Linked DNA regions of Coturnix japonica. The protein of the gene in region 1 purifies or fractionates together with the protein of each later gene. This does not show direct contact. Links are inferred from orthologs where the notes say so. Each region holds a gene or a part of one and is shown in the gene's direction. Other genes may lie near its edges.

Evidence for each region.
Region 2: the proteins of AGO3 (region 1) and TNRC6C purify together in Homo sapiens (affinity purification with mass spectrometry; 3 studies listed by BioGRID and IntAct, with this or other methods). This does not show direct contact. The link is inferred for Coturnix japonica from reciprocal best matches to the Homo sapiens genes AGO3 and TNRC6C.
Region 3: the proteins of AGO3 (region 1) and TNRC6A purify together in Homo sapiens (affinity purification with mass spectrometry; 7 studies listed by BioGRID and IntAct, with this or other methods). This does not show direct contact. The link is inferred for Coturnix japonica from reciprocal best matches to the Homo sapiens genes AGO3 and TNRC6A.
Region 4: the proteins of AGO3 (region 1) and TNRC6B purify together in Homo sapiens (affinity purification with mass spectrometry; 6 studies listed by BioGRID and IntAct, with this or other methods). This does not show direct contact. The link is inferred for Coturnix japonica from reciprocal best matches to the Homo sapiens genes AGO3 and TNRC6B.

The regions. Positions count from the first base shown.
Region 1 is NC_029538.1:3,699,093-3,706,606, reverse strand, and holds part of AGO3 (protein argonaute-3), read left to right. Parts: intron 1-1,224; coding exon 1,225-1,312; intron 1,313-1,460; coding exon 1,461-1,608; intron 1,609-1,895; coding exon 1,896-2,015; intron 2,016-2,372; coding exon 2,373-2,495; intron 2,496-2,704; coding exon 2,705-2,838; intron 2,839-3,273; coding exon 3,274-3,458; intron 3,459-3,718; coding exon 3,719-3,878; intron 3,879-4,880; coding exon 4,881-4,971; intron 4,972-5,286; coding exon 5,287-5,481; intron 5,482-5,804; coding exon 5,805-5,966; intron 5,967-6,377; coding exon 6,378-6,479; intron 6,480-6,785; coding exon 6,786-6,985; intron 6,986-7,271; coding exon 7,272-7,380; 3' UTR 7,381-7,514.
Region 2 is NC_029533.1:3,486,230-3,493,743, forward strand, and holds part of TNRC6C (trinucleotide repeat-containing gene 6C protein), read left to right. Parts: intron 1-4,116; coding exon 4,117-6,708; intron 6,709-7,514. UniProt on the Homo sapiens protein: Plays a role in RNA-mediated gene silencing by micro-RNAs (miRNAs). Required for miRNA-dependent translational repression of complementary mRNAs by argonaute family proteins.
Region 3 is NC_029529.1:6,769,330-6,776,843, forward strand, and holds part of TNRC6A (trinucleotide repeat-containing gene 6A protein), read left to right. Parts: intron 1-96; coding exon 97-2,688; intron 2,689-3,547; coding exon 3,548-3,712; intron 3,713-4,023; coding exon 4,024-4,199; intron 4,200-4,491; coding exon 4,492-4,572; intron 4,573-5,011; coding exon 5,012-5,063; intron 5,064-6,461; coding exon 6,462-6,604; intron 6,605-6,952; coding exon 6,953-7,099; intron 7,100-7,274; coding exon 7,275-7,412; intron 7,413-7,514.
Region 4 is NC_029516.1:45,733,533-45,741,046, reverse strand, and holds part of TNRC6B (trinucleotide repeat-containing gene 6B protein), read left to right. Parts: intron 1-2,202; coding exon 2,203-4,536; intron 4,537-5,384; coding exon 5,385-5,543; intron 5,544-7,514.

The DNA.
Region 1 (7,514 bases):
CCTATGGCTTAAAGAGGGAAGCATTCATCACCTGGTTGGCAGTGGGCAGCTTTGCCTTGCTGGCTTGTAACCTTTGAGAAGCAGGGGTCACTGAGGTTGTAGTGGTATTGTGCTGTAGGTCTCCCGCTGTTTAAATGCTGAGGCAAAATGAACATTGATTTTTTTGAAGCGAACTTAATTGATTCTTTGAAAGGATGCTATTTGCAGTGACTTCTAATAACTGTTTGCTGTATGGAAAAACAAGTACCACTTAATAACTTGCAGCTGAAGGCCAAATTCCATTCCAAAGGAATTGCATAAGCTACTGTTTAGTGTAGTTTCACTCCATATATGCTCCTTTGCTTTGCATTTTCCCGTATCATTTCATTCCAGTGTGATTTGCAGAGAGAGGAGCCTTGAAAGAGTTCAGCTGTTCAGAGCTCTGCTCTGGGACACTTGTGTTACTTGATGAAAGCTCGGACTCTGCTGAAATACTGGCCAGCAGGGAAATAAATCTCAGCTATATTTGCAAAGCAATATATTCATGGAATAGTCATTAGCTGGAGAGGGGAAATGTACCTTTTAGGACACACATAGTAGTCCAAACATGCCTCCTTTTTACATCTGTCTTTATTCATTCCGGGAGGCCCATAACTGGAGAATGAGCTGCTGTTTCTTCTTAATCTTGGACAGCTGAATCACTTTGTTACCACGGTCAGAGAATATGAAGAGGTTACCTTCACTGTCAGTATTTGCTATTATTGATGTACTATCTGGGAGCTGCAGCCAAGATACAATCATGTATAGTGAAACAGAGCCTGCCTTAACAGAATTTGCAGCCTGCGTGAGCAGCTCAGTGGGAGGATGGTTCTTTCTGTAGTGTCACAGCAGATTGATGACAGAGCAATTAATGGGTTCCAGATGCACACTCACAATCCTTTTCTACTTGACCTGTCTTGATGGGGATATTCATTGCATGGCCACAATCCACACAAACCTGGACAGGACACACCACCCAGCTTCCTCAATAACCTCTTCCAGTGGGCTGTAGGTTGAGTAATTTGTGTGGCAGTGCTGTTTCCAACCACCTTTTCTGCTGAGAACCTGCTGAGCTGCTGGTGTTGGCATTGACTGTACACAGAGAGCAATGTTGGGTTGGAACACACTCTTTCGTATGGAACTTTTTGTCTCCTGTGGTAGTTGTTGCATGGTTGTAACATCAGGCTTTTTGGTACTTCTGTGCAGGTCTGAAGGTAGAAGTGACTCATTGTGGAACGATGAGACGGAAATACCGTGTTTGTAATGTAACCAGGAGGCCTGCAAGTCATCAAACGTAAGATGCTTCTTTGTCAGGATGTAAGAAGTGCAGTAGCTTAGCACTGAATACCTAATGGGATCTAATTGTATTCGTTCTGGGAGTGCTAATAATTGCCAGCTAAGCTTGTAATAATTTTGATTGATGAAAGCCTGTGTCTCTCCAGCTTTCCTTTACAGTTAGAAAATGGCCAGACTGTGGAGAGAACAGTAGCACAGTACTTCAGAGAGAAATACAACCTCCAGCTGAAGTATCCTCATCTGCCTTGCCTGCAAGTGGGGCAGGAACAGAAACACACCTACCTGCCTTTAGAAGTAAGGATTTTACTCTAATAAATCAGCTCATTATTGGTAGGCAGTATTGTTTTGCAGAACATGAGGTAATGCACTTTGCAGTGCAGGTGTTTGCATATTTACATGTTCTTTATATGCTTTGTTTTTTTTTCACCAAAAACTACATTTTTTAAGTGCTTGAAAGATTAGAACTAAGTGTAAGTGTGCAATTGCTGAAATACTTTGGAGGTTTGTGGAGTTCCCCAAGTATGATACATAATGATCTGGTTCTGAATGCTCTGTATTAATGCTTCTGGTTTTTCTTCAAGGTATGTAACATTGTGGCTGGCCAACGGTGTATCAAGAAGCTAACAGACAATCAGACATCAACTATGATAAAGGCCACAGCGAGGTCTGCTCCAGATAGGCAAGAGGAAATAAGCAGATTGGTGAGTTCTTCAGTTTCAGTTTGGCTTGATGCTGTTCAGCAATTGATTTTCTGAACAGTAATTAAAGGACTTAATTTGAGGTGCTCTTATTTCCTAAGGAAAATGCTTTTGGATCTATTCAGTGAGCAAACAAAATGATGAGCACGTTACAATTGAGCACCTTGAGTAACTAAGGGAACAAAAAGTCTCGTCCAGTCTATCTCGTGGCATTTGAGCAACAAGCAGCTGAATCTAAGCCTTTTTCAATGAGAAGAGGGATTGTAGAACATTTCTGCTGCGTTCCTATTAGACTTTTCTTTATGGAGTTATAATTTTTTATGTGAATTTTGAATGTAACGTGGAAAAAACCTCTTCTAGGTGAGAAGTGCAAATTATGATGCGGATCCATTTGTTCAAGAGTTCCAATTCAAAGTCCGGGATGAGATGGCCCATGTAACAGGGCGTGTGCTGCCCGCACCGATGCTGCAGTATGGAGGACGGGTGAGGTCTTCACCTTTGTGGTTTTGCTTCTATTATGATGATTGAAGCATGATTTCCTACCTGTGTTGTGAGCGCTCCAGTTGCCTTGTGCAGTACAGGGATCAGTGTTTAAATGGCAGGCTTTGTTTTCTCTTATCCTGAAGCAGTAAACAGCACAAGCCTCTTTGCTTTCACTCACATGGATGTTTCTATGTTTCTTCTTCCTGCAGAACAGAACAGTGGCAACCCCAAGCCACGGAGTTTGGGACATGAGAGGGAAGCAATTCCACACTGGTGTTGAGATCAAAATGTGGGCTATAGCTTGTTTTGCAACGCAGAGACAATGCAGAGAAGAAATACTGAAGTAAGGCATGTCGTAGTTCAGGCTTTGGACTGCTTTTGTAATGAAACCATTCACTGAAAACATGGATGTAAGAATTCTTAATGATTAAAGCTAGCAAAACAATCACCTTGGGTGTTAAGGGTAGAATCCAAGCAGCTTCCTTTCTGGAAGCTACAATCAAAACACTGTTTGAGTCTTGCGATATTGCTGCTCTGTGTTTAGTTTTGTCTAGCATCATGAATGGAGTACTGAAAGGCCCCAGATTTGCTGTTTTCCATTCTGACCTCTGTGGTTTCAAATCTGTGTGGCCTCCATGCGGGTGCTTTAAAAACACTACTTTGAAAGCTATGTGGAATCTTTTTCTCTGTATGAGTAACAAAGTTCTTCTACCTGTTTTTGCTCTGGTTGTTGTTTGCTATTGCCAATGCAAAAATCCAGTGAACTCCTTATCTATAGGGGTTTTACAGACCAGCTGCGTAAGATCTCCAAGGACGCAGGGATGCCGATCCAAGGCCAGCCCTGCTTCTGTAAATACGCCCAGGGTGCAGACAGTGTGGAGCCCATGTTTCGGCACCTCAAGAACACCTATTCAGGGCTTCAGCTCATCATTGTCATCCTGCCAGGAAAAACACCAGTGTACGGTAAGGGAATACCTTGGAGTTTACCTGTTTGGTGAAGTATCATTCAAACATATGCATGACATGTTAGAAAACTGCTCTGGAGCATTCATTAGATATAAGAAGCCAGTGCTGTCTGAAGCTGAAATCAGAAGCAAGTCTGAGTGTTCAACTCAATAGAAAGTTGTTTTACAGAGTATTCAACTGTTGTGATGGAAGCTAAGATCAAAACATGGCAATAGTTTCAAATGGGCTCAGTTTGTATCCTAATTTTTGTTTCCCAGCGGAGGTGAAGCGTGTGGGAGACACGCTGTTGGGAATGGCCACGCAGTGTGTGCAAGTCAAAAACGTCATTAAAACATCTCCACAGACCCTTTCAAACCTGTGCCTGAAGATCAACGTTAAATTAGGAGGAATCAATAACATCCTTGTACCTCATCAACGGTAAGAATCTGCATGGGGATGTATTTGGGTTTTCTTTGATACTTAGCACCCAACATTTAACTGTAGTCAAAGCTTGTGTTGAATTATCCTTCTGGTAGTATGTGGTATGAGCTGGAATTACATCTCTTCTTGTGTGGGCCTTGAATAGTTGTTGGTCTATGAGCTGAGTCTCAGGTGTTTTTCCATGCTTGATCAATATCAAAAGCTTGAACAGCTGCAGTTCTGGAGGTGCTGAAAGATTGGTACCATTAGGAGTTTTCTGCAGGTTTAGGAGTCTGCCATGCATCACAGAACAGTCTAAGCTTTGGTTACTGTGCCAATGTGCAGTCAGTAAGGGCAGAAATATACTGAAAGCCCCCTACTTCTCTCACACTGTTAGGCTGAGCAATTCAGCTCACGCTCATTCTTTGCATGGGGAACCTCTGTGCATGTGTTCCAGTTGCTTAGAAGCCCTCAGTGGGGTTTGAATCTAAGCCATGTGTGCTCCCTCTTTCTTACGTGCTTTGTTCTGAAGAAGCACAAATCAGTCTATCAGTCCTGAAGACAAGAAGTTCTGGTGGTCCCTAACAGTTATTAGGAGCTTTTATTATTATTATGAGTTCTTTAAGAGTGGACAGACACATCACACAAGCCAGACAAAAACTTCTGGAGTGCAAGTTGTAGGAATTCTATCCTGAGGATTCCTGAAAGAATTCCATATAGTGGAATCAAATGGTAGAGTAATGGTTTCTGTAAGAGACTGCCTGTATTGTTAAGGTGCAGCTCTTTGGCTTTTCTCCACTAGAATCATGCCTGCAGTTCAGTGGCTGTGTTTCGCAATGACCGTTAGCGTTGTGGAAGTTTACTTCTTGCACACAAAGGTCTCATTGTTTAGCTCTGGCCGAAGTACCTGATAAGAAAGTCTCTCTGTGCAACATAGCTGAAATAGAGACAAAGCCCCATATTGAGCACCAACTGTTCATCTGCAAGTGTGACTTAGCACTTTTTTTTTTCCTTTTCAAGACCTTCTGTGTTCCAGCAGCCAGTGATCTTTCTGGGAGCTGATGTCACTCACCCTCCTGCTGGAGATGGAAAAAAACCTTCCATAGCTGCTGTAAGTTTTAGTACATCAACACTGTTGTTTCATTTTGGGTTGATGTTAGAACAGCAAATGCAACTTGTGTTTGTCAGATCTCTTTCAGGGCTTATGCCAATTCTTGCTATCCATTCCCAGTGTTGCTAAGAATTGTCTTTAAAAGAAAAATACTGCTTGATAATTTCTCATAGCATTTTGCTTTTTAAATCGAGGCAGTTATGTTAAATAGAATGTTTTTGCAGACGTCATATAAAGTAAAGCTGCTTTATGATGTTAGAGCGTCTTGTATAGGCTTGAACTTGTTGCTTTTAGTCATGCAATGTTCTCCTGAAGGTTGTAGGTAGTATGGATGCTCATCCCAGTCGATACTGTGCCACCGTGAGAGTTCAACGGCCCCGCCAAGAGATCATCCAAGATTTGGCTGCCATGGTGAGGGAGCTTCTCATCCAGTTCTACAAGTCAACACGCTTCAAGCCCACGCGTATCATCTTCTATAGGGATGGGGTCTCTGAAGGACAGTTCCGACAGGTTGGTTCATTTGTGAACTGTCTGAAGCTCTGAATTCCTGCCCTCCTGTTGGAATAAGCTGTACTGCTTCTATTTGTGCTAAGATACCACAAAAGAATTGAGCCTTTTTAGGAGAGTTAAGCGTGTTAGGTAAGAGAAGTTGCTCTTTCCTTGTTGTCTAGGAAGAACAGCTCTTACTCTTGGGAAACAGTCTATTTCTCATTACTTCCTGAAGCTGATAACAGTGTAGAACAGCTGAACTTAGTGTTAACTGCAGACTGTTAATTAGGTGTTGTGTGTAGAATATAATGTGAGGAAAACTTTTTCTGTTCTTGTGCTTGTAGGTTTTGTACTATGAACTGCTAGCCATTAGAGAAGCCTGCATCAGTTTGGAGAAGGATTACCAGCCTGGAATAACCTATATTGTGGTGCAGAAACGACATCATACACGGTTGTTCTGTGCTGACAGAACAGAAAGGGTAACTGTTGTCCTGCTCAAGCTTGGTGTCAGTACTGCTAGATAGAATATTAGCATGAACTTCACTGCCAGTCTGATTCTGTTTGCATTTGGGGAATGTGTTGAATTGATTAGCACAAGATGTGGCACCAAATTGAAAAATCAATGACCTTAAATACAGTAGAAAAAACCAAAACACATCAGGCTTTGTCACAGTGTCCGTGTGCACTGCATATGTGCAGCTCTTCTGGCTTTCTGAGATCCAGAGTTCTCAGGTTCTGGATGCAGTATTCTGCACTGCAATGGTAAAAAGCCATGCAGTGTCCACGTTGGACATCCTAGTTTGTTGTGTTGTCACATTGCAAACAAAGCTAAGACAGTTCCTTCACTGAAGTGCTGTGTGCATTGAATAGGAATTTGTGTTGTTAGCTGCAGTGTTTTTAACGTAACTTTTGTTTAGGTTGGACGAAGTGGCAATATCCCAGCTGGAACAACTGTAGATACAGACATTACACATCCGTATGAGTTTGATTTTTACCTCTGCAGTCACGCTGGAATACAGGTATAATTGTTATCTTTATCACTTTAGTCATGTTGGAAGCATGTTTCAGTTGTTAAGGGTTCTTTAGAAGGCATGTGGTTTTCTTTTTCCCAAGCAAGGATAATCGAAATAACATCATCGTATGAATATTAGACTTTATTTAATCTCTGTAATACATTTATTGCTGACATAATCCTGAAGTTTCTTTGGCTGCTGTTGCTTAGGAATTCAGACTAGACAGTCTGACCTTTTCTGAACTTAAACATCTGTCTTGATTGCATGGACACCGAAAAAAAGATGAGTGAACTGATGTTCCTTTCTTCTTAGGGTACCAGCCGGCCCTCACACTATCATGTTCTGTGGGATGATAACTGTTTTACTGCAGATGAACTTCAGCTGCTGACTTACCAGCTCTGCCACACATACGTGCGCTGCACACGATCAGTTTCTATACCTGCACCAGCGTATTATGCTCACCTGGTAGCATTCAGAGCACGATACCATCTTGTGGACAAAGAACATGACAGGTAAAGAAGAACACGTGTCCTTAAATGTTTGTCCCTGTTGGTCTCAGCTCTGTTGTCAGGCATAAAACCATCTGACCGTAGATAATTACTGTTCATTTTGCAGTTAATTCTCATTACCTTTGCAGCTGGACTTAAGATGCTCATTCCTGACAGCAAGGCTGTGTCAGGCAATGGTGGGGTTGGTGTTTTCTACCGAATAACACCTGGATTACAAGAACGAAGCTCGGCTTCATGAAATATTGTTCCCACATCCCCTCTTGTCTTAATTTTTCCCATTTCCTTGCAGTGCTGAAGGAAGCCACGTTTCAGGACAGAGCAATGGCAGAGATCCGCAGGCCCTGGCGAAGGCTGTACAGATTCACCAAGACACCTTACGCACGATGTACTTCGCTTAAGTCAATAAAAGGGGAGCGAACTCGCTGACAGGAAGAACTGACAAATTAAGCCACATACAATGTATGTTTCCAGTGGGGTTGGTTTATGGGGTGTGCCTCCGATCGTGCAGGGCCGAGAGGCTGACCCTTAAATT
Region 2 (7,514 bases), on another chromosome or scaffold:
TGAATCCAGGGTTGTTGTGCCAACTAACATGCATTGAAAAATTTAGGCAGGAGTAAGAAGAGAGGAATCTGTTTTTGTTTTGTTCGTTCGGCTTTAAATCAAATCTATACTGATTAATAAGATTCTCATTAAACATTTAACCGAGGCGGTGCCGTTTTGCACTTCCCTCTTACTTCGGTTTGTAAATCAGCTGAATGTTAAATTATAGTTGAGGGTGCGTAATTGTGCTGCGTATTGTTCAGCCTAATTACTGTGATGGAAGTTATGAAGATAGAGCTAAAAACAACAAGGAAACAATGAGGAATACGACTGCAAACAGTGTTTTCAGATCAAAGCCTTATCCTTTCTGCAGGCCGTGCACTTTGCTTTTAGAGAGATGCATGCAGCAGCTCCTCACCTTTCATTCTGCTCGTGCTTGACATTTGCAGCCCATGTAAGCATTAACCTGATTTTGCAGCTATTTGTTTATATTGCCATAAACAGAAACGTTTTCTGATGTGCGGTGTGCGAATCCAGCTGACTGCAGTGCTCAATAGCAGGGATCTCCTCCCTCCCCATTACAATACAAAAACAAAACCCAGTCACCCGCTGCTTACTGGTGGCACTGGTCAAAGCCATATGATTTTCTGCTAGCCAGCATGCCTGCAGTTTGAATTTGTATTGAGTTTTGGTTGGGGTTTTTTGCATATTTTATTGTAGCGGTGGTTTTTAATGAACTCAAAGTGCTGTTAATCTCAGCGTTATGTTGATGTTCTTTCCTGATTGGGCTGTATTTCCCAATAGACACGCAGTGAAGATTTCCATGCACAAAGTGTCGGTGCTAACAGCAGTTGGACATGGCGGTGCAGCAGCGGTGCTGACATGAGATGTGCATCTCATCTTCTATTGCTCTGCTCGGAATGGCAGCTCCCAGGAAGGCTGGTTGTGCTCCTGTTAGGCTGAGCGCTTTGCTTTGCTTCAGAGCTTTGCAGGACTAAAGAGAAATGGTTTTCCCATCCTGGTCTTAACAGCTTATAAAAGAAAGCCATGACATTCTTTGTGGAGACGTGGTTTCCTAGAGAGTCAGAGGGGATTTTTGTGTTCAAAGGAAACCCTGAACAAACAACAAGAAAATTACCCCAAGATTTTACTGTATAAAAATATTTTCCTTTCATTATTTCTCCTCTTGGTGTCAAATCCGTGTGGGTTAAGTGCAGGTTTGCTGCTCTTTGGGTTATTTGCTTTGTAGGAATGAAGTGCTTTTAGGTTAGAGAAAGTGGAAAAATGGCCTTTGGATGCTTGCTTCTGCAGACTGTGTATCAAAAGATCCTTTTTGGGGTTTGCTGTGTGTTGGGAGGGCTTTATCTTTGGTTTTGCAGCAAAGTAACAGCTCTCACAACCTGGAGGGGCTGGATTTAGATTTGACCGCTTTGTTTTTTGAGCACGTTCCTTGTGAGAGCTGCAAGTGTGAATCCCTGCTGAGTCCAGAGCAGGGAAGGAGCAGAGCAGCACAGGTATGTTGCTGCTAGTGGGAGCACTGTATGTTGTGCACTGGAATTAGCACAGTCCTTATCAAGGGAGCCTCTTTCAGATTAGTCAGTGCTTGTTGTTGTTGTTGAGGCCGTAATCTGAATCTTGGCAACCGTGCTGTTGGAAAGGGAGCAAATACTGATTTTCAAGCCCTCTGAAAGTGGGAGGTTTCTGAGCTGCTGCTTGGAGCCAAACACAGGGCTGTGTGATGCTGCCTGAGCAGTGTGCTCAGCCCAGCTACAGTACCTGATCATTCAAGGATGGTCAGCTCTTGCTCTGTATAATTCTTCATCTTTCTGCTGTGGTTTGTCTGATTCTTTGGCTGTTCTTCCAAATCCCACTGTCTCATGCAATGAACCATTTTGCTCCCTACTGAGGAATCTTTGCAAGTTGTTTCCCTGTTCTTCATGCCATCCGTGTGCACAGTGAGCCCCGTGCAGGCTGCTGTGCCTGCCCTGCACAGCGCTGCTCTGCTCCTCTGCTCACAGGTGGAGCTTCAGGTTCAGCTTTTGTGAGACCTTTGTATTGAAACTGTATTTCAAGCTGCTTTTAAATCTTCCTGACATGTCAGGAATGTACTGCTGAAGCTCACCACCCACTGTGCTGAAAAAAAAAATCACACACACGACTCCTCTTATCTGATTCCTTGGTTACCTCAACTTCTTATCTGCTGGCCTTGGCTGCTGCAGCTTTTTTCCTTTGTTTGTTTCTGCTCTGCTCCAAATGCTGCTTGGCTCGTATTTCTGACCCCGTCAACCCAGTTTGGGTCATTTTGCAGGCTTCCTTTCACTTTCCCTGCCTTATCTGGGATTTGGGCTCTGTTTAACACCTTCGTAGATTATCAGGTAAATTTTCAGCTCTGTAAGCGTTCGGTTTCGTGCAGGTATAACGTGATGTTTTCCTCCTTGCTGGCCATTGCATGTAGGGATGATAATCCGGGTTGGTCTAACCAGCTGCTTCTTATTCTCTTGTGAGTTTGTCCTGTAAATGTGCATTATTTGGGTCTTTCTGTGAAACACCAGGCTTGTCCTGGCATTGTGAGCAGACAGGCAATGAGCTGAGACTGTGTTCCCATCCTTTCTCCAGTTGATTTTGGGATGAGATGCAGTCTAACCTGAGGTTATTGTGTTCATTCTGTATCCCCATAACCTGCATGAGGCAACTTAATCACAGCTCTTGCCTGCAAAGCCACAGGTGAAACGTGTGAATAATGAGATTTTCTTCACGAGAGCTTTTTCTATTCTTGGAAGAATTTTTTCACAGTGTTGGAGTACCTTTAATTGGAGGCAGTTGGAGGAGCTAATCACACCAAAATATTTGTGATTCAAATCAATGTATATTAGTCATCCGCTGTTAAACAGCTTATTTGGGAGGTTTGTTGTGTACATCTTACCCTCAGAACAGTCTTGCACTTCTTATTCAAATTTGATGTAGACTAATTGGTGGTAAAAATCCAAGTCATGTTAGTGCAGATTTACGACAATAATTGGCATCCGAAACATGTAACGTATAGCTGCAGTTTTCTCCTCTTTTTAGATCAGCAGCTGAATTAAGGGTTGTGCAGGTGGCCTCCACCATGTATCCCTGGGTTTGGACTGAATTACTTACCATAAGATTCAGATTCCCATTAAAAGAAACAAAAAGGAGAAATCTCTACCAAAGATCTCTTATTGGAGCGATTGGAATGGAAAGTAAAAGCAAAAACTCAACCGGAGTCCTTAGTGTGAAAATGGTTGTGTCTTTCAGTATAATTTTGCCCCATAGCAATTAGAGGTTCAAGAGCTTCTTTAGAAACTGCTTGATCAGTGTCTTTGTTTGAGGGTAGGTGTGTAGTATATGTTCTGTGTCCTGAAGACCGCCTTCTGGATATCTGTGCAATATAGCATTACTTTCACTGGGTAGAGGGTGGACTTTGGACATACTTTGGATGATGTGTGCAGCTAAAAAGCACATTGAAATCCCTTATAAATCCTTTAAGAGCTAATTTTCTTGAACAGACTGTTACTCTGAAACGCCTGTGTGTTCTCTGCTATAACCTAAAGGTTACAGCAGCACTGTTTGAACGCATAATTGATGCTGTACAGCAAAAGATGGGTGTCAGCATGTGAATGGAGCGTGTGGATGGTGGTGTGGCTGCAATGTGTGTAACGGCAGGAGGACGTTGCATGTTTTATCACTGGGTGCTCTTTGAGAACTGAGTCAAATAATTCATTTTTTTAACACATGTGCTTTTTGGATTTCTCATGGAGGTTGGTGTATTTGCTAACATCTACTTATGGAGTGCATTATTGTTTTAATAAGCCTTGCCACTGCACGTAAAACGTTTTTGTGCCTTTGTTCTAGAATGGAATTATTCCATTTGAATTGAGAGTTTTGTCAGATTAAAGAAACAAAACAGCAACAGCACAAAAGATCGGGTTTGGTAGTTTGTTGTACTGAAGAAAATTGCTGTATCGTGTTGGAAAACATGCTTTGAATTTTAGGATGCTTTGCACTTCAGTGCAGAGCACAGCGTTACAGCTAGCAGGGTAAAGCAGTACTTACTTAACTGTGGTTTTGTGGTGCTTGAACCGTGCACTCATTTTCAACCTTTTTGGATCCTTTCAGATCTCAGTCACAGTGGATTGGGAGACCATTATGAAAATTCCCACTGGGGACAGCAGCCCACTTTCAGGAGTGAAGGCAACTGCAGCTGGGATAAAGTGATAATAGACAGGACTGACAAGGAAGCGTGGCCTTCCATCACAGGAGCTGAGACTGAATCTGCCTCAGAATGTACTACAGACACTGACTCTGCCTCCAACTGTGGCTCAGAGAACAGTAGCATGGCTACAGGGAGTGCCCAAGGCAACTTCACTGGACATACAAAGAAAACTAATGGCAATAATGGCGCCAACGGAGCACTCGTCCAAAGCACTTCTAACCAGAGTGCCCTTGGATCTGGTGGAGCCAACGGTAACGGCAACTCGGCCAGAGTGTGGGGCATGGCTGCAGGCTCTGGCTCTGGCCTAGCTCACTGCTCTGCCAGCGGTGGGGATGGCAAGATGGACAACATGATTGGAGACGGTAGAAGTCAAAACTGCTGGGGTGCTTCCAACTCAAATGCTGGCATTAATCTTAACCTTAACCCTAATGCCAATCCAGCTGCCTGGCCTGTACTTGGACATGAGGGAACTGTGGGAGCAGGCAACCCTTCCAGTATTTGCAGTCCGGTCAGTGCCATAGGTCAGAACATGGGCAACCAGAATGGGAACCCGACAGGCACCTTAGGTGCTTGGGGAAACTTGCTGCCGCAAGAGAGCACAGAACCACAAACGTCCACTTCTCAGAATGTGTCTTTCAGCGTACAACCTCAGAACCTTAACACTGATGGACCAAATAACACTAACCCCATGAACTCTTCACCAAACCCTATCAATGCAATGCAGACAAATGGACTGCCGAACTGGGGGATGGCTGTTGGTATGGGGGCCATCATCCCGCCCCACCTGCAAGGCCTTCCTGGTGCTAATGGAACATCAGTTTCTCAAGTCAGTGGGGGCAGTGGTGAAGGAATGGGCAGTTCGGTTTGGGGGATGTCCCCAGGTAATCCTGCCACAGGAAACAGCAATTCTGGGTTCAGTCAGGGGAATGGAGACACTGTGAACTCAGCATTAAGTGCTAAACAAAATGGATCCAGCAGTGCTGTGCAAAAGGAAGGCAACGGAGCGAGTGCGTGGGATTCGGGGCCTCCGTCTGGTCCTGGGGTACTGGCGTGGGGCAGGGGAGGTGGCAACAGCGGTGTTGGTAGTATGCATTCTGGAGCTTGGGGCCACCCCAACCGTAACACCAGTAACGGTGTCAACGGTGAATGGGTCAAACCCCCAAACCAGCATTCCAATAGCGACATCAATGGGAAAGGATCAGCGGGGTGGGATAGCTCCAGTGTTACCAGTCCGAATCCTGCCATGCAGCAGGGCAACGAACAAATAAACTCTTGGGCCAAAGCTGCAGCATCTGGCACCACAGCTAGCGAAGGAAGCAATGACAGCGGTGGCAGTCAGAATGAAGGCAGTACGGGGAGGGAGGGGGCTGCAGAAGGCAGGAGGAGAGACAAAGGGATGATAGACCAAGGGCAAGTTCAGTTGCCAAGAAATGACCTTGACCCCAGGGTCCTGTCCAATACAGGGTGGGGACAGACCCCTGTAAAGCAAAACACTGCCTGGGAATTTGAAGAGTCCCCGAGGTCTGAACGAAAGAATGACAATGGAACGGAGGCCTGGGGTTGTGCAGCTACTCAATCTTCAAACTCAGGGGGGAAGAACGATGGGTCCATCATGAACAGTACAAATACCTCTTCAGTATCTGGGTGGGTCAGCTCTCCACCTGCAGCTGTTCCAACAAATACAGGTTGGGGAGACAATAACAACAAAGCACCAAATGGCCCAGGGGGGTGGGGAGAGTCAGCAAGCTCTACTACTGTTAATAATGCTGCTGCTGCCAAAAGCGGCCACACTTGGAGTGGGACCGCAAATCAGGAGGACAAATCACCTACCTGGGGTGAACCTCAGAAACCCAAATCTCAAAACTGGGGAGACGGACAGAAATCAAATCCAAGCTGGACTTCAGGAGGTGGAGATTGGACAGATTCATCATCTGTTCCCGGACACTTGGGTGATGGGAAGAAGAATGGATCTGGATGGGATTCTGACAATAGGTCGGGGTCTGGATGGAATGATTCCACGAGGTCTGGGACCAGTGGATGGGGAAACGGCACAAACAGCAAGGCTAATACAGGTACAAGTTGGGGGGAATCTTTAAAGCCAGGCCCCCAACAAAACTGGGCTAATAAACCCCAGGACAACAGTGTGAGTAACTGGGGAGGAGCTGCTTCTGTAAAACAGACGGGGTCGGGGTGGGTTGGTGGGCCAGTGCCAGCCAAACAAAAAGAGAACTGTGAGGCAACTGGCTGGGAAGAGCCATCTCCACCGTCCATTCGCCGCAAGATGGAGATTGATGATGGTACCTCAGCTTGGGGCGACCCAAATTACAACAACAACAAGACTGTAAATATGTGGGATAGAAATAATCCTATCATTCAGAGCAGTACCACAACCAATACCACCACCACGAGCACCATTATCAACACAAACATGGTTGAACCTCAGCCATCGCACCAGTCAAGTGCCCAGCCGAACCGGTCCCCGCTGCTTGGTCCAGGTATGACAGTACTTTTGTAAGCTCCATTGTACCAATGCCGGTAGTACTTGGCATGTTGGTCCATATAAAGGTCTTTCACCATTAGTTAGCACCTTCTGCCCTCGCAGAGCTGGATGTCTTTTTGCTAACCTCTCTTCTGTTATTTGTCTGCTGTTACTATTACTCAGTCTTTATTCCTGTTTAGACACTGAGCGTCTGTTTCTTCTCTACAAACCCTATCTCTTGGCAGCAGATGTTTTCTTGGCTGTTGCATGAATCCAGACTAGTGCTGTTTCTTCTGTTTGCTGTCGTTTGTGAAGAAATGGTTCTCTTCCATCCTTCGGGTCTCAAGCATGGATTGTATCCTGGGCTTTTATGAGGGTCTCATAAAGTTGGATTGGTTAAAGATGTTAATATTCAGGGTGGCTGAAAAAAGCCATTCCACTTCAGTTCTGTTCCAGATACGAGGCTTTAAGCATTATTTGGCTGGGAAGAGCATGAGGTTTTTTTCTAATGATAGAGAAGATGCTGTTGTAGATGAACAGCAAGGAATATCAACGGGAGGTGGGGGAGGTACAGAGAAAAAGATTGTTTAGAGGAGAGGTATTTAAATAGATGTCACTGGAAGCCCTGCTCTGTGTCTCAACCACAGACATCTCAAATCCAATCTTGCTGTGCTCTTTAACATTTCTCATCCGATTTTGTGTCCAAGTTTTTGTTTTGTCTTGGCCATGCCTAAATATTGGCTTTCTTAACTGTGCTTTTCTCCAAGCAGGATTTGTTCTCCTCCTCCCTATTGCCATCAGTTGTGGTTTTTTTTTCTTTCC
Region 3 (7,514 bases), on another chromosome or scaffold:
TGACTTGGTGTCTTTGTACATTGTTTTTCTTCTGTTTAATGCAGTAATAATACTGTGTTTATAATAATGGTCTTGGACTTTCCTTCTTCTCTTTAGATCTGAACCACAGTGGTCTAGGATCCCATTATGAAAATTCTCACTGGGGACCAGTCTCTTCAAATAGTGACTCCAGCACAAACTGGGATAAAGTTATTGTAGACGGCTCTGACAAAGAAGCATGGCCATCAATCACTGGCAGTGACCCAGAGTTGACATCAGAATGTATGGACACTGACTCTGCCTCTAGCTCTGGGTCAGAGAGAAACCTCATTATAATGGCTTCAGGGAGCACAGGTGGTGAAAGTGATGGCATTCGAAATGGCATCGGACATGGTTCTCAAAATAAGTTTGTGGTTGGTAGCAACAGCAATAATGTGGGCAATGGAAGTATTAATGGGCCATGGGGTTTATCCCATGGGACCATAATAAGCACATGTCAAGTTTCTGTGGATGCTCCTGACAGCAAATCTGAAAGTAGCAACAATAGAATGAATGCTTGGGGCACCATAAACTCTTCATCAAATGGAGGGTTAAATCCAAGCACTTTGAATTCAAATGGCAACCATGGTGCCTGGCCTGTATTGGAGAACAATGGACATGCCCTGAAAGGGTCTGTAGGGAGTGGTAATTCTGGCACAAATATTCAGTGCAGTACCATAGGTCAGATATCTAACAGTCAGAGTATTAGCTCTAAAGTGGGTGGTTCAGCCCATGGTTCCTGGGGAAGCCTTCAGGAAAATTGTGATTCTGAAGTAAATGGTACAAGGAAGGTTTCATTCAGTGGGCAACCTCAAAACCTTAACACTGAAATGAATGGACCAAATAACACTACTAACTTTATGACCTCTAGTTTACCAAACTCTGCTGGTTCAGCGCAGATTAACGAACTGCCTAATAATACAGGGCACGGGGCCTGGCGTGTGAGCACAATGAATCATTCTCAGATTCAGGCCTCTCCAGTTACAAATGGCACTTCCATTTCTCACCTTAGCAATGGTGAGGCGAAAAATGGTGGATCTTATGGTACTACATGGGGTGCCTATGGTTCTAATTACTCTGGAGACAAATGTTCAGGCCCAAACAGCCAAGCTAATGGTGACACTGTGAATGCAACTCTAATGCAGTCAGGCATTAGTGGGCCTGGCAGCACTAACTTTCAAATCAACGGGAATAAAGGAGGAGGGGTGTGGGAAGCAGGGGCAGTCAGCTCCCAGAATATGCCATGGGGAAGTGGAAATGGCGCAAGTGCTGGCGGAAGTAGAAGAGGATGGGGCAACCCTGCACAAAACACTGGCACTAATATTTCAAATGGTGAATGGAGTAAACTGCCTAGTAATCAGCATTCCAATGAAAGTGTAAATGGAAATACCAGGAAGTTTACAAATGGATGGAAATCTACTGAAGAGGATGAGCTTAACAGCCAGAGTTCTGCTGTGTCTCAGATAACTGAGCAGAATAGCGCGTGGGCCAAAACAGGTACAGGGGACGGTGAAGGTAGTACAGAGAGCACTGGATGCCATGAAGATAGAGTAGCTACAGAAGGACAGAATCGAGAGAGAAGAAAAGTTGACCAGCATGCATTACTCCAAAGCATAGTAAATAGAACTGACTTAGATCCACGTGTCCTTTCCAATTCTGGCTGGGGACAGACTCCGATCAAACAGAACACTGCCTGGGATACCGAAACATCACCAAGAGGTGAAAGAAAAACTGACAATGGGACAGAGGCCTGGGGAGGCTCTGTGACACAGACTTCTAGCTCAGGGGGATGTGTGGATAGACCTAGCCCTAATAATAATGATACCTCATCTGTATCAGGGTGGGGAGATCCAAAGTCTGCTACAAGGTGGGGAGACTCCAAAGGGTCAAATAGCCAAGGGGGGTGGGAAGAGGATTCTGCTGCTACAGTAATGGTCAAGAGCAATCAATCATGGGGAAGTGGCAAAGAAGACAAGTCATCTTGGAATGACACACAGAAGATGAAACAGGGATGGGTAGAAGGACAAAAGGCCAGCCAGGGTTGGGCTGTTTCTGCCAGCGACAGCTGGGGTGAAAATTCAAGAAGTAACCATTGGGGTGAGACAAAGAAATCCAGTTCAGGAGGTAGCGACAGTGACAGATCAGTATCTGGTTGGAACGAGCCAGGTAAATCAAATTCTGTTACTTGGGGAGGTAGTAATAATACAAACCCAAATAATTCTTCAGGATGGGATGAGCCTGCAAAGTCTAATCAGAACCAGAGCTGGGGAGACCCTCCTAAATCCAGTCAGCCTCAAGGTTGGGGGGATTCATCAAAGCCAATCAACTCTCCAGAATGGAACAAACAAGATGTTGGATCTTGGGGAGCACCGTCTGCCGCCAATAAACCGCCAGGCTCAGGCTGGCTGGGGGGACCGATTCCAGCCCCAGCGAAGGAGGAGGAACCCACTGGCTGGGAGGAGCCATCCCCTGAATCAATACGCCGCAAAATGGAAATTGATGATGGAACTTCTGCTTGGGGTGATCCAAGCAAATACAACTACAAAAATGTGAATATGTGGAATAAAAATGTCCCAAACAGTAGCAGCAGTTCAGACCAGCAAGCACAGGTACATCAGCAGCTACTGTCTTCAAGTGCCATGTCTAGCAAGGAGAGCAGTTCGGGTTCTGGTAAGACTTGACTTTACACAAGCTTGTGCTTTTGTTTAGTTGTAAAACGTTTCTCTTCTACTTGTTTCATGTAACATATTTTAGATTCAATGTGGAGAGGCGGAGGTGGCAACAGAAGTACCTTTTTATTATCAGTATTATAATTAAAGGAGAATGCAGGTAGATGCTTTGATATTTTTATACAAATTGGAAGATCTGTTCTCATTTTAAATAGTTTCAGTAACGTAGACTAGACAGCTCTGTTGAAATCCTGGGGTGTGGGAACAAAGGGTGAGTGCTAAATGCATATAAATATATAGATAGATATATCTAGGGAATAGTGTTTTTCTTCATTTGATTCTAAAAGCTACAACTTAATGTTGCCAAATAATCAAAAAAACAAAACAAAAAAAAAACAAAGAAAACACCCAAATACCAAACCGAGTTGGGCTGCTACCAGGCAGAGTGAAACATGATTATTTTATATGCACCAAAGATCAGAATTTGCAGGCTTGTAGTTTTGGGAGCAGTAAATAGTTGTGGATGTGTCTTTGCAGTACATGCAAAGTGCTTTGTGCTGTCTTTTTGCAGCTGCAAAGAGGAGTAGCTTAAACACAAGGAGCAGCCCTTAGGAACTTAGTATTTTAGAGATGTCTGTTCTCAGTGTAATTCTTTATATATGAAATTTGTATTTTTGCTTCTTTTTAATGGAACAGTTTACAGTTTTAATAATGACCTTCATGCAAAATGCAAATGTTTACTAATAAGCTCTTTACTGTATGCTATGGCTTTGAAAAGGCAAAGCACTTGATTCTTTAAAGTGGCTTTTAAAATCCTGTTTTAAAAAAAACATGTCAGTAACTCATACTGCTTTAAAAAGGTTGGGGAGAGCCTTCTACTCCAGCCACTACTGTAGATAATGGAACTTCAGCGTGGGGTAAGCCCATGGATACTGGTACTAGCTGGGGAGAACCCATCAGCGATGCAGGAGGCACCTCTGGCTGGGGAAACGCTTCTCTTGGTCAACAGGCTCCAAATAAACCCGGTGAGTGCTTTTGCACTGTCTTTGAGTAACAATACTGAAGGTGAAATGCTTATCTTTTTTGGAGGCTTTAATTTGAAATAAGCTCATTTCTGTCTGTGTTAAGGGCAGCCAATGCAAACTGATGGTTTTTTTTGTACTGGAGTAGCTACTCATTGGTGTGTGTTTTCCTTTACTACCATGCCATTACTGATCTGACACTGGGCATGATTAAAGAAACTACTTCAGGTTTTAGTAGCTGATTTGAGTGGAGATTTTTGTGGTTTTAAGTGTTGACGTGTTGGGGTTTTGTTTTGGTTTGTTTTTACAACCAGGGCCTAAATCTATGCAAGATAGTTGGTGTGGAGACGATATGCCATTGACAGGCAGTCGTCAGACCAGCTGGGAGGAAGAAGAGGATGTAGAGATTGGAATGTGGAACAGCAGTTCTTCACAAGAAGCTAACACGTCTTTGAACTGGCCACCCTATATGAAGAAAATGCCCACAAAGGTAATTGTGACTTGTGAGATGTCAAGTCCACACACAGGTGCAAGTTGGCAATGGAAAGAAAGAAAAACTTATGAGGCTCCTGAGAATTATTTCTTCTCACTGTGTAAAATGGTTTCCTCAGGAGGTTGTGTCAGGGTTTTTGCACTGTTGTCATTCCTGAAAACTAAGAACGGGTTGCTGTGCTGAATGGAGTACCATAGAGCTTTCATCTTCATAATGTTTTACGGTTTAATTTAAGCAGTGGGTGGTAAATATCTTCTGAGTATCATGGGAATTCCTTTCTGTTTTTCAGGGAATAATGAAAGGTGGAAATAAGCAAGATGAAGCATGGATCAATCCATTCATTAAGCAATTCACAAATCTCAGTTTTTCAGTAAGTATTACACCTTTCCTGTCAGCATTGCCTTTTTAGAGTGTTAGTTGTAATGCACAAAGATGAAAATACTTGATTGTCTGAAGCCCATTTTCATCGTATTTTCCTTTTTACTTCTATTTATCTCCTCTGTCGCTCATCCCTTTTTTTCTTTGTACATTCTCAGTATAAAAAGACTTACTTACGAAGAAAGGCATTGTTGTAAACACTACCAGTTATTCATCCAGTAGTCTGCTGCTCTAGTTAGTTACGTGTGGATGTTGGTAAATACACCTGTTTTCAGTGGGGATATCAAAGGGACAAAATGCTTTAAGATAGAGCCCAATTATCTTGATGTTTTTTTTCCTGCAGGTCTGAATTGTTATAATATATATGAATCTCTTTGTTTTAGCTTCTAAAAAGATTATTATTAAATAATTGATTCATTTTATTACTTCAGAGAGAATCACCAGAAGAAACCATACAGAGCAATAAGATGGACTTGTCTGGAGGTAAGAAGAAAACATAATTAGATTTTACAGCTTTCCAATCTGTTAGCTTAAATATATCAGTTTGCATAAGTATATATTGTGATTTCTTTTATTTATTTGTGTATTTGCATGTATATATAATATTTCCTTAAATAATACTCTTGTAGAGCAGGAAAAAAAAAGACTTGTGCATATAACACTGCGTACCTGATTGCTGCAGTATTGTTAATCCAGAAGTCAAACTAATCTTATACATACAGAGCTGGCATGAAAGTGTGCTTATGTGGTGTGGGGTTTTGGTTTTTTGTTTTCTTAATACAAGTATCCAGACTGCTTTGTGGACAGCTTCCCTAAATAGGCACAGATGTTCTGAATACCACACTTGCTTCTTGTGGTTAATTCTTAGAAACACATTTTCAGTTCGAAGAAGTAAATTAATACCGAACAGTTACTTCAGATACATTTATACTTGAATGCAAAAATCACTTTTGAGCAGCCTTTGAGCTCATTTGCCATTGTGATTCCTCTAGCAAATGAAAAATAGGATAATTAAATTTAATCAATGGCCAGCAGTATATGATAGTAGGACATGTGATGAAAAATAATTGTGGCACTGTGTTTATTGTAGCTGCACTTCTTAATTTTAGTTGCAAATTGCTTTTTTCACTTTTGGCTCATGATCTGTATTGCATGAGTTCTTTGCATTTCAGATATTAAAAAAAATAATAGAAAGCCTCATGCTTAAATGATCTCAGTTCTTGAATTTGAATTCGAAATATCTGCTTGGAAACAATTCTCTTGCAGTGCATGCAGTGGAGTATTAATGGAGTATTATGCAATGAAGTACGCTGCTTTACTACTGCTTGTATTTTGATCTCCAAGCTTGCTTAGTAGCATTAACAATGAAAGTGAGATGTTACAATGAGCTTTCAGTAAATACCAGTATTTAAAATGTTCCCATCTGTTTGGTTGTCATTCCCTCCACAATAACTGAATCAAATTAAAGACCCTCTGAAATCTTATGCAGATGAAGGGCATGTAATAAAGATACTGCTTCAGATCCAAGACAGCACTTGTTGTGACTCTTCAAAGAAAAAACAAAAAGCTGACATTAATGTCTGTCTTAAACAATTATACTTGCCTTGTTTTTGCAGGCTGAGAATATTTTTGGGGAAGTGTGCAAACTGTTGATGCTTTTCTGATTCCCAATTTGAAGCTGTCTGTAGCCACTATTCATAGTGTTTCCTTTCCTTTGAAGCGAAACCCAGGAAGTTTAAAATGGAACTGATGTTTTCTTTTTCTAGTGCCAAGCCTGAAAGCTGTATTCTGTATTTCATGAGCATAAATCCATTCTGACTGTATCTGGAAAACGATGTGATCCTTCAATGTCGTAGTCACATCTCTCTCACTTTCTCTTAGGGTTATTGCAAGATAAGAGAATGGAGATTGATAAGCATGGCCTCGGTGTTGGAGATTACAATCGTGTGGTTGGAAAAGGCCCTGGTTCTCGTCCTCAGATTTCCAAAGAGTCTTCCATGGATCGCAGTCCTTATTTTGATAAGGTTAGTAGCTGTCTTATTGGTGGACATTCAGAACTTCTTTGATTCAGCATTCTAAGTAATTGTCTGTGCACTCCTTAGCTTTCTGCATTTGGTGGAGAAGAAACTTAGTGCTTTCTTGTTAATCCATAAGATATGTTTTGTTCTTTTTAACTTACTGATATATAATACTAAGCACTTTCTGTAGCCCATTTGCAGTGCAAATAACTAACCTGATCTCTTTTGTTTTCTGCCTATTTCCTGCTGATGCTGGACTCTCATGTGACTCTTCCCTTCTGTTCCTGGCAATGGTTTCTCCCTACTGCTTGCTTGCTGGCTGGTTGTTGCGCATCGGTTTGTCCGTCCAATCAGGATGGCATTGTAGCAGACGAGTCCCAAAACATGCAGTTTATGTCCAATCAAAACATGAAGCTTCCCCCTTCAAATAGTGCACTACCTAACCAAGCCCTTGGCTCCCTGGCAGGGCTGGGTATGCAAAACTTGAATTCTGTTAGACAGGTAAGGCTGTGTGCATATACTTGGCATGTTACTTGACAGTATTTAATACCTTTTAATTTAACATCCTAGCTACTAATGTGATTAATATGTTTTCTGGTTATAATGTAAATGTGTAGGGGTGGGAGAAGTAGCAGAAGAGGTTTATTGTCACTAACCATCCATCTTTTTTCCCCAGAATGGCAATCCCAGTGTGTTTGGTGTTGGTAATATAGCAGCACAGCCCAGGAGCATGCAGCAGCCTCCAGCACAACCTCTTAATTCATCTCAGCCTAATCCACGTGCTCAAGTGCCTCCTCCATTACTATCCCCTCAGGTAACTAAGTACTTGGAACATTCTACGTATAAGCTAACAAAATGCTGCTTCAGAAGAATTTTCTATTTACTGGTGTGGCTGATGTCTATTCTGTAAATGTTT
Region 4 (7,514 bases), on another chromosome or scaffold:
ATCACCAGGTGGTCTCTTGCAGCAAAACTGAATCTTTGTTTCAGGACTCCATTTCAATACTTCCACTTATTTCAGTTCCATATTTTCACCCTTAAAAGTGAACATTAGCTGGTAACTTTATTCATTGTAGTCAGATCAGAAGCTTGTTCATCTTCAGCACGTTTGTTATTATGGACAAGTCTGCTTAAGAACCAAGAACCCCTATGCAGACTTATGAGGGCAGAACTGTAGATTGATAATTTGTTGCCACTGTCCAATTAGCAGAAGGCTGTTTAATTAAAATAGTCCATTAAATTGTGTTCTAGTATACTGTGTTAGGAAGCATCCCTATCTTAATACTATCAGGATATCTTCACAGAAATGAAATGTGAAATACTTGTTGGAATCACCTACATAAAGATCTTGGCGTGGGCAGCTCTGCATTTACATTTGTTTGCTGAGTCTTTGCTACATTCAGAAAACCTTGCTGTTTCTTGAACTTGTCTTTCTCTGTCCATCAGTCCAATCAGAAATTTTTTTAATTGGAAAAAAAAAAAAAATGAAGAGGGAAGGATGAGGTTACTCACTGTATTAAAAGGATAGCCAGGAATAAATACCTCTAGAATCGCACTTCCTTGCTCTTCTGAAGTTTGTAATTGACATTGAAATAACAGAAGGAGCAGAATGTGCATGGGAACTGCATGATTTTTTTGGATTTTGGTGGCCCAGGATTAATGGATGAAGGCAGACTTCAGTTCATCACATTTGAAAGCTTCCATTATAGCTAATAGTAATCAGAAATGTTGGTCTTTACTCTTGAATATGTAACAGTATACTTTAAAAAATCACCTTTTTTTATAAGTCATTATAACTTTATTAGTGTTCAGTGTGAGTTTGTAGAAGGGAGAGTGTTCAGTCTTTGTTACAAAGAATTTGTGGGTAGTTTTGAGTTCTTTTACTTTTCTACATATTTGTAATACAAATGACACTATATAGAGAGAACATGATATAAGTAGAATTGAAATGAAATTATTTAGGTGAGCGAAGGTGACTTTGCGTGGAAGGGGGAGAGCTTGACTTCTTAAATTGATAGTGAGAACTATCTGTACATGTGCAAACATGCTGTTAGCACTGATATAGACTTCATTGTGACACTGTTAATTTGTGTGCTTTAAAACTGTATGCAAATACCTTGACATTGTAGTCCTATTCCTTAATCATTTATCCTGCCATTTTCTTTAACTGACTGTAAGAGCTATTGGACTTGGAGGTCACCCTGTACAATGCAGTGTTAGCAAAAAGTTAACTGTTTTCTGTTGAGTTTGTGAATACAGTTGACTTAGTTAAAGGGCTGTTGGAACTTGGCAGATTTGGAGTAGATCGGGTAAGAGAGAGGAGGAAATGTTTGATATCTTGTTAGCTTTTGGCTAGTGGTGGAAAGATTGATTCTGTTTTTCACAAAACCACAAACTGATTTACTTTGAAAAGAAACTTTTCCAGCAAAATCCACTTCAAAAAAGATGTACCTGAAGCCAAAGGATATACTTCTTCAGCTTTATGTTCCTTCTTTGTTTTTCATTTTTTACCTTTTCACCTGTCAGAAATACTGGTCTCTTTTTTGAATCAGTTGTAGAATCATAGAGTATTCTGAGTTGGAAGTGATCCATAAGGATCACTGAGTCCAACTCCTGGCTCCACAGAGGATCACCCAAAAATCAGACCATATCTCTGAGAACATTGTCCAGATGCTTCTTGAACACTGTCATGTAGCTGTCAGTCTCCTACTCGACTATGCAAACATGCATGCGTAAAAGTGTGCACATACATATTCTTGCTCTGTGCATTGTATGATTTTACCTGTTTTTGAAAAGTCCACCACCAGTGCCAGTTTGACCAAGCAGGTTCATTTAGTGAGTTGCAATCACTGTTGAACTTGAATCAGCTGGACTGTAAGCCACAGAGAGACTTAACCATGGATTCACATGCCCACAAATTGCTTCTGGGGAATTTCTTAAAACACATTTTTAATCTGTATATTTAATATTGTTTTCCAGTCTCTTGTTCTTCCTAAGCAACTTCATTACACGTATATGAGAGAAGGATTAATGTATTAATAGAATCAATAGTAAGTGGTATCAAAAATGTGATGTTCAGTGTTTGTAGACAGTATTGAGTATTAATGGTTTTTTGGGGTCTTTTTTATGCTTTTTTTCTTCTTTTTAGATTCAACAATTGGAGGTGCTGCTGCTTCAAATTATGCAAATTCCACTTGGGGTCCTGGAGCCTCCTCCAACAGCGGCACCAACGCCAACCCAACTCACATCTGGGACAAGGTGATTGTAGACGGGTCTGACATGGAAGAGTGGCCTTGTATTGCCAGCAAAGATGCTGAGTCTTCTTCCGAAAACACCACCGATAACAACAGTGCCTCGAACCCTGGCTTGGAGAAGAACACTCTGCCAGGAAGCACCACTAGTAACAAAGGAAAAGGAAGCCAGTGCCAGTCTGGAAGCGCTGGAAATGAATGTAATCTTGGGGCCTGGAAATCTGATCCCAAGGCTAAATCTGTTCAATCTTCCAACCCTGCTGCCGAGAGTAACAATGGACTAAGTAATTGGAGAAACTTGACTGGACAAGATAGAATTGGTTCTGGTTCTGGCTTCAGCAACTTTAACCCAAATAGCAACCCGTCTGCTTGGCCAGCTCTGGTCCAAGAAGGCAATTCTAGGAAAGGGACTTCGGAATCTGATAGTGGTAGCTCCAGTGCACAGATTAGCACAGTAGGTCAGACCTCTAGGGAACAGCAGTCAAAGATGGAAAATGCGGGTGTTAACTTTGTCTCTGGCAGAGAACAGGCTCAAATTCATAACACTGATGGACCAAAAAATGGAAACACTAACTCCTTGAACTTAAGTTCACCAAACCCTATGGAGAATAAGGGAATGCCCTTTGAAATGGGCTTGGGGAACCCTTCCAGGAGCACTGACACCCCTTCACAAAGCACTGGAGAAAGAAAGACTGGGAGTGTTGGATCTTGGGGTACAGCTAGGGGGTCTTCTGGAACTGACACAGTCTCTGGACAGAGCAATTCTGGAAACCATGGGAACAATGGAAAGGATAGGGAGGACTCCTGGAAAGGAGCTTCTGTTCAAAAACCTAATGGGTCAAGAAACGATTCTTGGGATAACAATAACCGGTCTACGGGTGGTGGGTCTTGGAACTTTGGCCCTCAGCATGCAAATGAAAGCAAATGGGGTGAAGGGAACAAATTGACATCTGGGGTCTCTCAGGGAGAATGGAAACAGCTGTCTGGGTCTGATGAACTGAAGATTGGAGAATGGAGTGGTCCAAACCAACCAAATTCTAGCACTGGAGCATGGGACAATCAAAAAGGCCACCCTCTTCCTGAAAACCAAGGCAATTCCCAGGCTCCCTGTTGGGGAAGATCTTCCAGCTCCGCAGGAAGTGAGGTTGGAGGTCAAAGCACTGGAAGCAACCACAAAGCAGGAAGTAGTGACAGTCACAATTCTGGACGCCGATCATACAGGCCTACACATCCTGATTGCCAGGCAGTCTTGCAGACTTTGCTGAGCAGGACTGATTTGGACCCCCGAGTGCTTTCAAACACTGGCTGGGGCCAAACTCAAATTAAGCAAGATACCGTATGGGATATTGAAGAGATGCCACGGCCCGAGGGGAAGTCTGATAAAGGAACTGAGGGGTGGGAGAGCTCTGCCACACAGACAAAGAACTCAGGGGGCTGGGGCGATGTACCCAGCCAAAGCAATCAAATCAAGTCTGGATGGGGTGAGCTCTCAACCCCAACAGAGTGGAAGGACCCCAAAAATACTGGAGGATGGAGTGACTATAAGAACCCCAATTCATCTAATTGGGGAGGGGGAAGACAAGAAGAGAAATCATCATCATCTTGGAATGACAGTTCTAGTAAGGATCAGGGGTGGGGTGGACGGCAGCCTAATCAAGGATGGTCTTCTGGAAAGAACGGTTGGGGAGAGGAAGTTGACCAAGCAAAAAACAGCAACTGGGAAAGTGCGGGAAATAAGCCAGCATCTGGTTGGGGTGAAGGTGGGCAAAATGAGATTGGAACTTGGGGTAACGGTGCAAATACAGGCTCTGCTTCAAAGGGTGGTTGGGATGATTGTAAAAGAAATTCAACGTGGAACGAGACGGGTCGACAGCCCAACTCCTGGAACAAGCAGCAGCAGCAGCAGCAGCAACAGCAGCAACAGCAGGAGACTTCTGGTTCCTGGGGTCCACCTCCACAAACTCCAAGTAATGGGCGACCTTCAAACCCAAACTGGAACAGCGGACCACAACCAGCTGCCCCCAAAGACGAGGAGCCTAGTGGCTGGGAAGAACCTTCTCCACAGTCAATCAGTCGAAAAATGGATATTGATGATGGCACTTCAGCATGGGGAGATCCTAGTAGTTATAACTACAAGAATGTGAACCTGTGGGACAAGAACTCACAAGGAGGACAGGCCTCACGGGAACAGAGCCTGCCTACTCCAATGACTAGCAAATCCCAAGCATCAGGTACTCATTTCTTTCTTCAGCAGATTTCTTTATACGATCGTAACCCTTACGCATAAGAGATACACTTGTAGCCTACAACTAATAGCATTATTTCATAATGAAAAAACATTTCTTGAATGTTTTGGTCCTGAGTTTAAGTGTCGTTAATTTGAATCAAACAGTCTTCTGCTTATTGTGTCTTAGTAACTTTGATCTGAACATTGGGCAGCTTGCCAGTTTAAAAAAAAAAAAACAAAAAAAAACTTATCTGAGAAGGGTTGAATTCTTAGAGAATTTGTGTTTAATTACGAAAGAAACAGGGAAAAAATCTCTTTGTTTCAAGTCAAAAACAGTTTCCTTCGAAACATAGTTAATAGCAGCTGACATTGAATGAGCATGTGCTTTAGTTTCTTAGCTCAATTTGGTTCTCCTGTGTGGTGAAGAATATTTAGCAAGGTATTTTCTTCTTTGAAATAATGATTAAAAAAATAATCAAGAAATCAACCCTGCGTGGCCTGGAAATAAATAAGGTATACTGTTATGCTCTTAGTTGTTCTTCAGTGTATGAAAACCCAAATGATCTGGTGCTTTCAGTTAAAAGAAGTTCACCAGAAGATAAAATAGGGTTAGGTTCATATTTAACCTGAGAGAAGAATATTATTCATTACTGTGTTCTTTCTTTTCCTACCTGAAGGTCAGAGCCCACCGTGAACTGTTATGTGAACAATTTTTTATTCTGTTTCACCCACAGTATTGAGAGCTCAGAGTCTTCAGCAGTAATGCAGTAGATAAATGACATGGTGCTGCACAGCAGTAAATAGTTTGTTGTCTAAATGGTCTGTAATGAAAACTCTTTCTCCTTTGTGCAGTCTGGAGCAAAAGCACTCCACCTGCTCCAGATAATGGTACGTCCGCCTGGGGTGAGCCAAATGAAACCAGTCCCGGGTGGGGTGAAGTAGATGATACAGGAGCATCGACAACAGGCTGGGGGAATGCACCTTCCAACGCCCCGAATGCCATGAAATCTAGTGAGTATAGGACAGATACTAGTTTATTTGCAGTGGTCCTGGAGACTTCTAGTGTTTGGCTTTTTGATATAGGTCACCCATGGAGGATTTGTTATCTGAGGCCTAGAAGCAATGCTGAATGTAATGTAAGATTTTGGTTGATGAGTGATTAAGTGCTTACCAATGACTGGATACTTACCTTTAAGGTAATGGAAATGTTCTTTACCTAACTGCTTGAAAGGGCAGTTTCAGTTTGTGCAAGTGTTGAAGCAATAGAACATCTGCTCAAGGAAATAATTCTTTTTCTCACATCATCTTCTCTCTGCACACCCATTACTTAAGGTACAAGCTCATTACATGGTAAATCACCTTTTCTGATCACATCAGGAGAGGGAATTCAGAGCTTATAGAAACATTTCACAATAGATGTGTGTGAAGTGCCTTTGAATGCACTTTTTTTGCTGCATGAATGTGAAAAACTCATAAATTGACCTTCCCCTTGTGGCCTAACCTAAATGGCTGAATACTTTCTAGTTATTGCCTGCATATAGCTACTCTTCTCCATGAATGAGATCCTGTTGAACCTTTAAAAAAAAAAAATCACTTTGAAGTTAGAATCCTGCTGTATTGAGTTTGCTTTGTGTGGAAGTTATTCCTGATGTAAATGGGTAGAATTTTTATTTCACTGTTCGTAAGGAAAGTGGAACAAACAAAGCAATCTCCTGCTGTTACAGCATAGCAGTGTTATAGCCAAAGACAGTGACTTTTGGTTATTAAGTTTCCATTAGGAAATACTGAAAATACTCACTGTTTCTGAACCTTGGTGGTTATACCGGTGGTAAGACTTTCCAGTTACAAGCTACTCTTACAGCATCTGATTGTCTGGGATGAAATGCACCATAGGGATTCTTTGCTGTTCTCCCATGTTCTCTTTCCCACACTTGAATTAAACAATTAGGCCATTCATGAAACAAAACTGGAAAATTCCAGTAACATATATTGAAACGTTTATTGGGTGGCTGTGGTGCTCCTTGTACCTGACAGACAGACTTGGCACTTTTCAGGATGCTGGACTTTTTTCTAGATGGCTCATCTTCCTTCCTTTGTAAAAAGCCATGTAAGTGTGTCCAAAATAAGAGACACTGAGGTGCTAATGATCCATTTTAAAAATCTGTGGACTTTTTAATATTTAAGATAGTCTTTAAAGAACACAATCACTTGCTTATCCTAGCTGGTCTGCACATGGTGACATAACCAAAGAGCTAAAGCATATGTGTTGTGCTTTGTGTAAACTATTTCCAGCTCAGCAAGAGCAAAATACAGGGAATTTTCCCTGTGCTGGCTGTTAAAAGTATGTCACCAGAGGTAAGAACCGGGACCTTCATTCTCCTGTGTACTGTGAATGCTATGTCAAGTCCTTTCTAATTGGCACCTAGACAGAGCAAAAGAGAAAACTGCATTATTCAGTGGACTAAGGGGAGATATTTCATATCTTGGGTAAGCTAGAAGAGGAAATTGGGGCAAAGCGCCTGCTAAGGTGTAATTTATGGTTGAAAGTAAAGAGAGGAAATAAAGACTTGCACCAGCTGGACAAGAAAATTACAGTTCAGAGCCAAAGAAGGAAGTGGGAGATGAGGTGTGACTAAAAAAAATCAACCAACCCCAAGAGAACTGAATGAGCAGAAAAGGTTGTGAAAGTAGATTTCCTGTATGTATTATGAGGAAGAGGTCGGACAGGGGAGACTCAGGCAACCAAACAAAAGAGTGTAGAGCTTAGCCTAGGAAAGTTGCTTGGAGTACAGAAATGTGAGGCAGAGTAAAAGTTAGCACTTGGGAGAGCACTCAGCTGTGCTTCTTAGAGAATATTCTGTTCTTAGCTTTGGATAGGTAAGGTCAAGACAGAAACTGTGCCATTAGTGCTGGTGACAGCCATTGGCATAATATCCCATTCTTCTACAATGCTGGCAAATAGCAGTCCTTATTCACAGCACT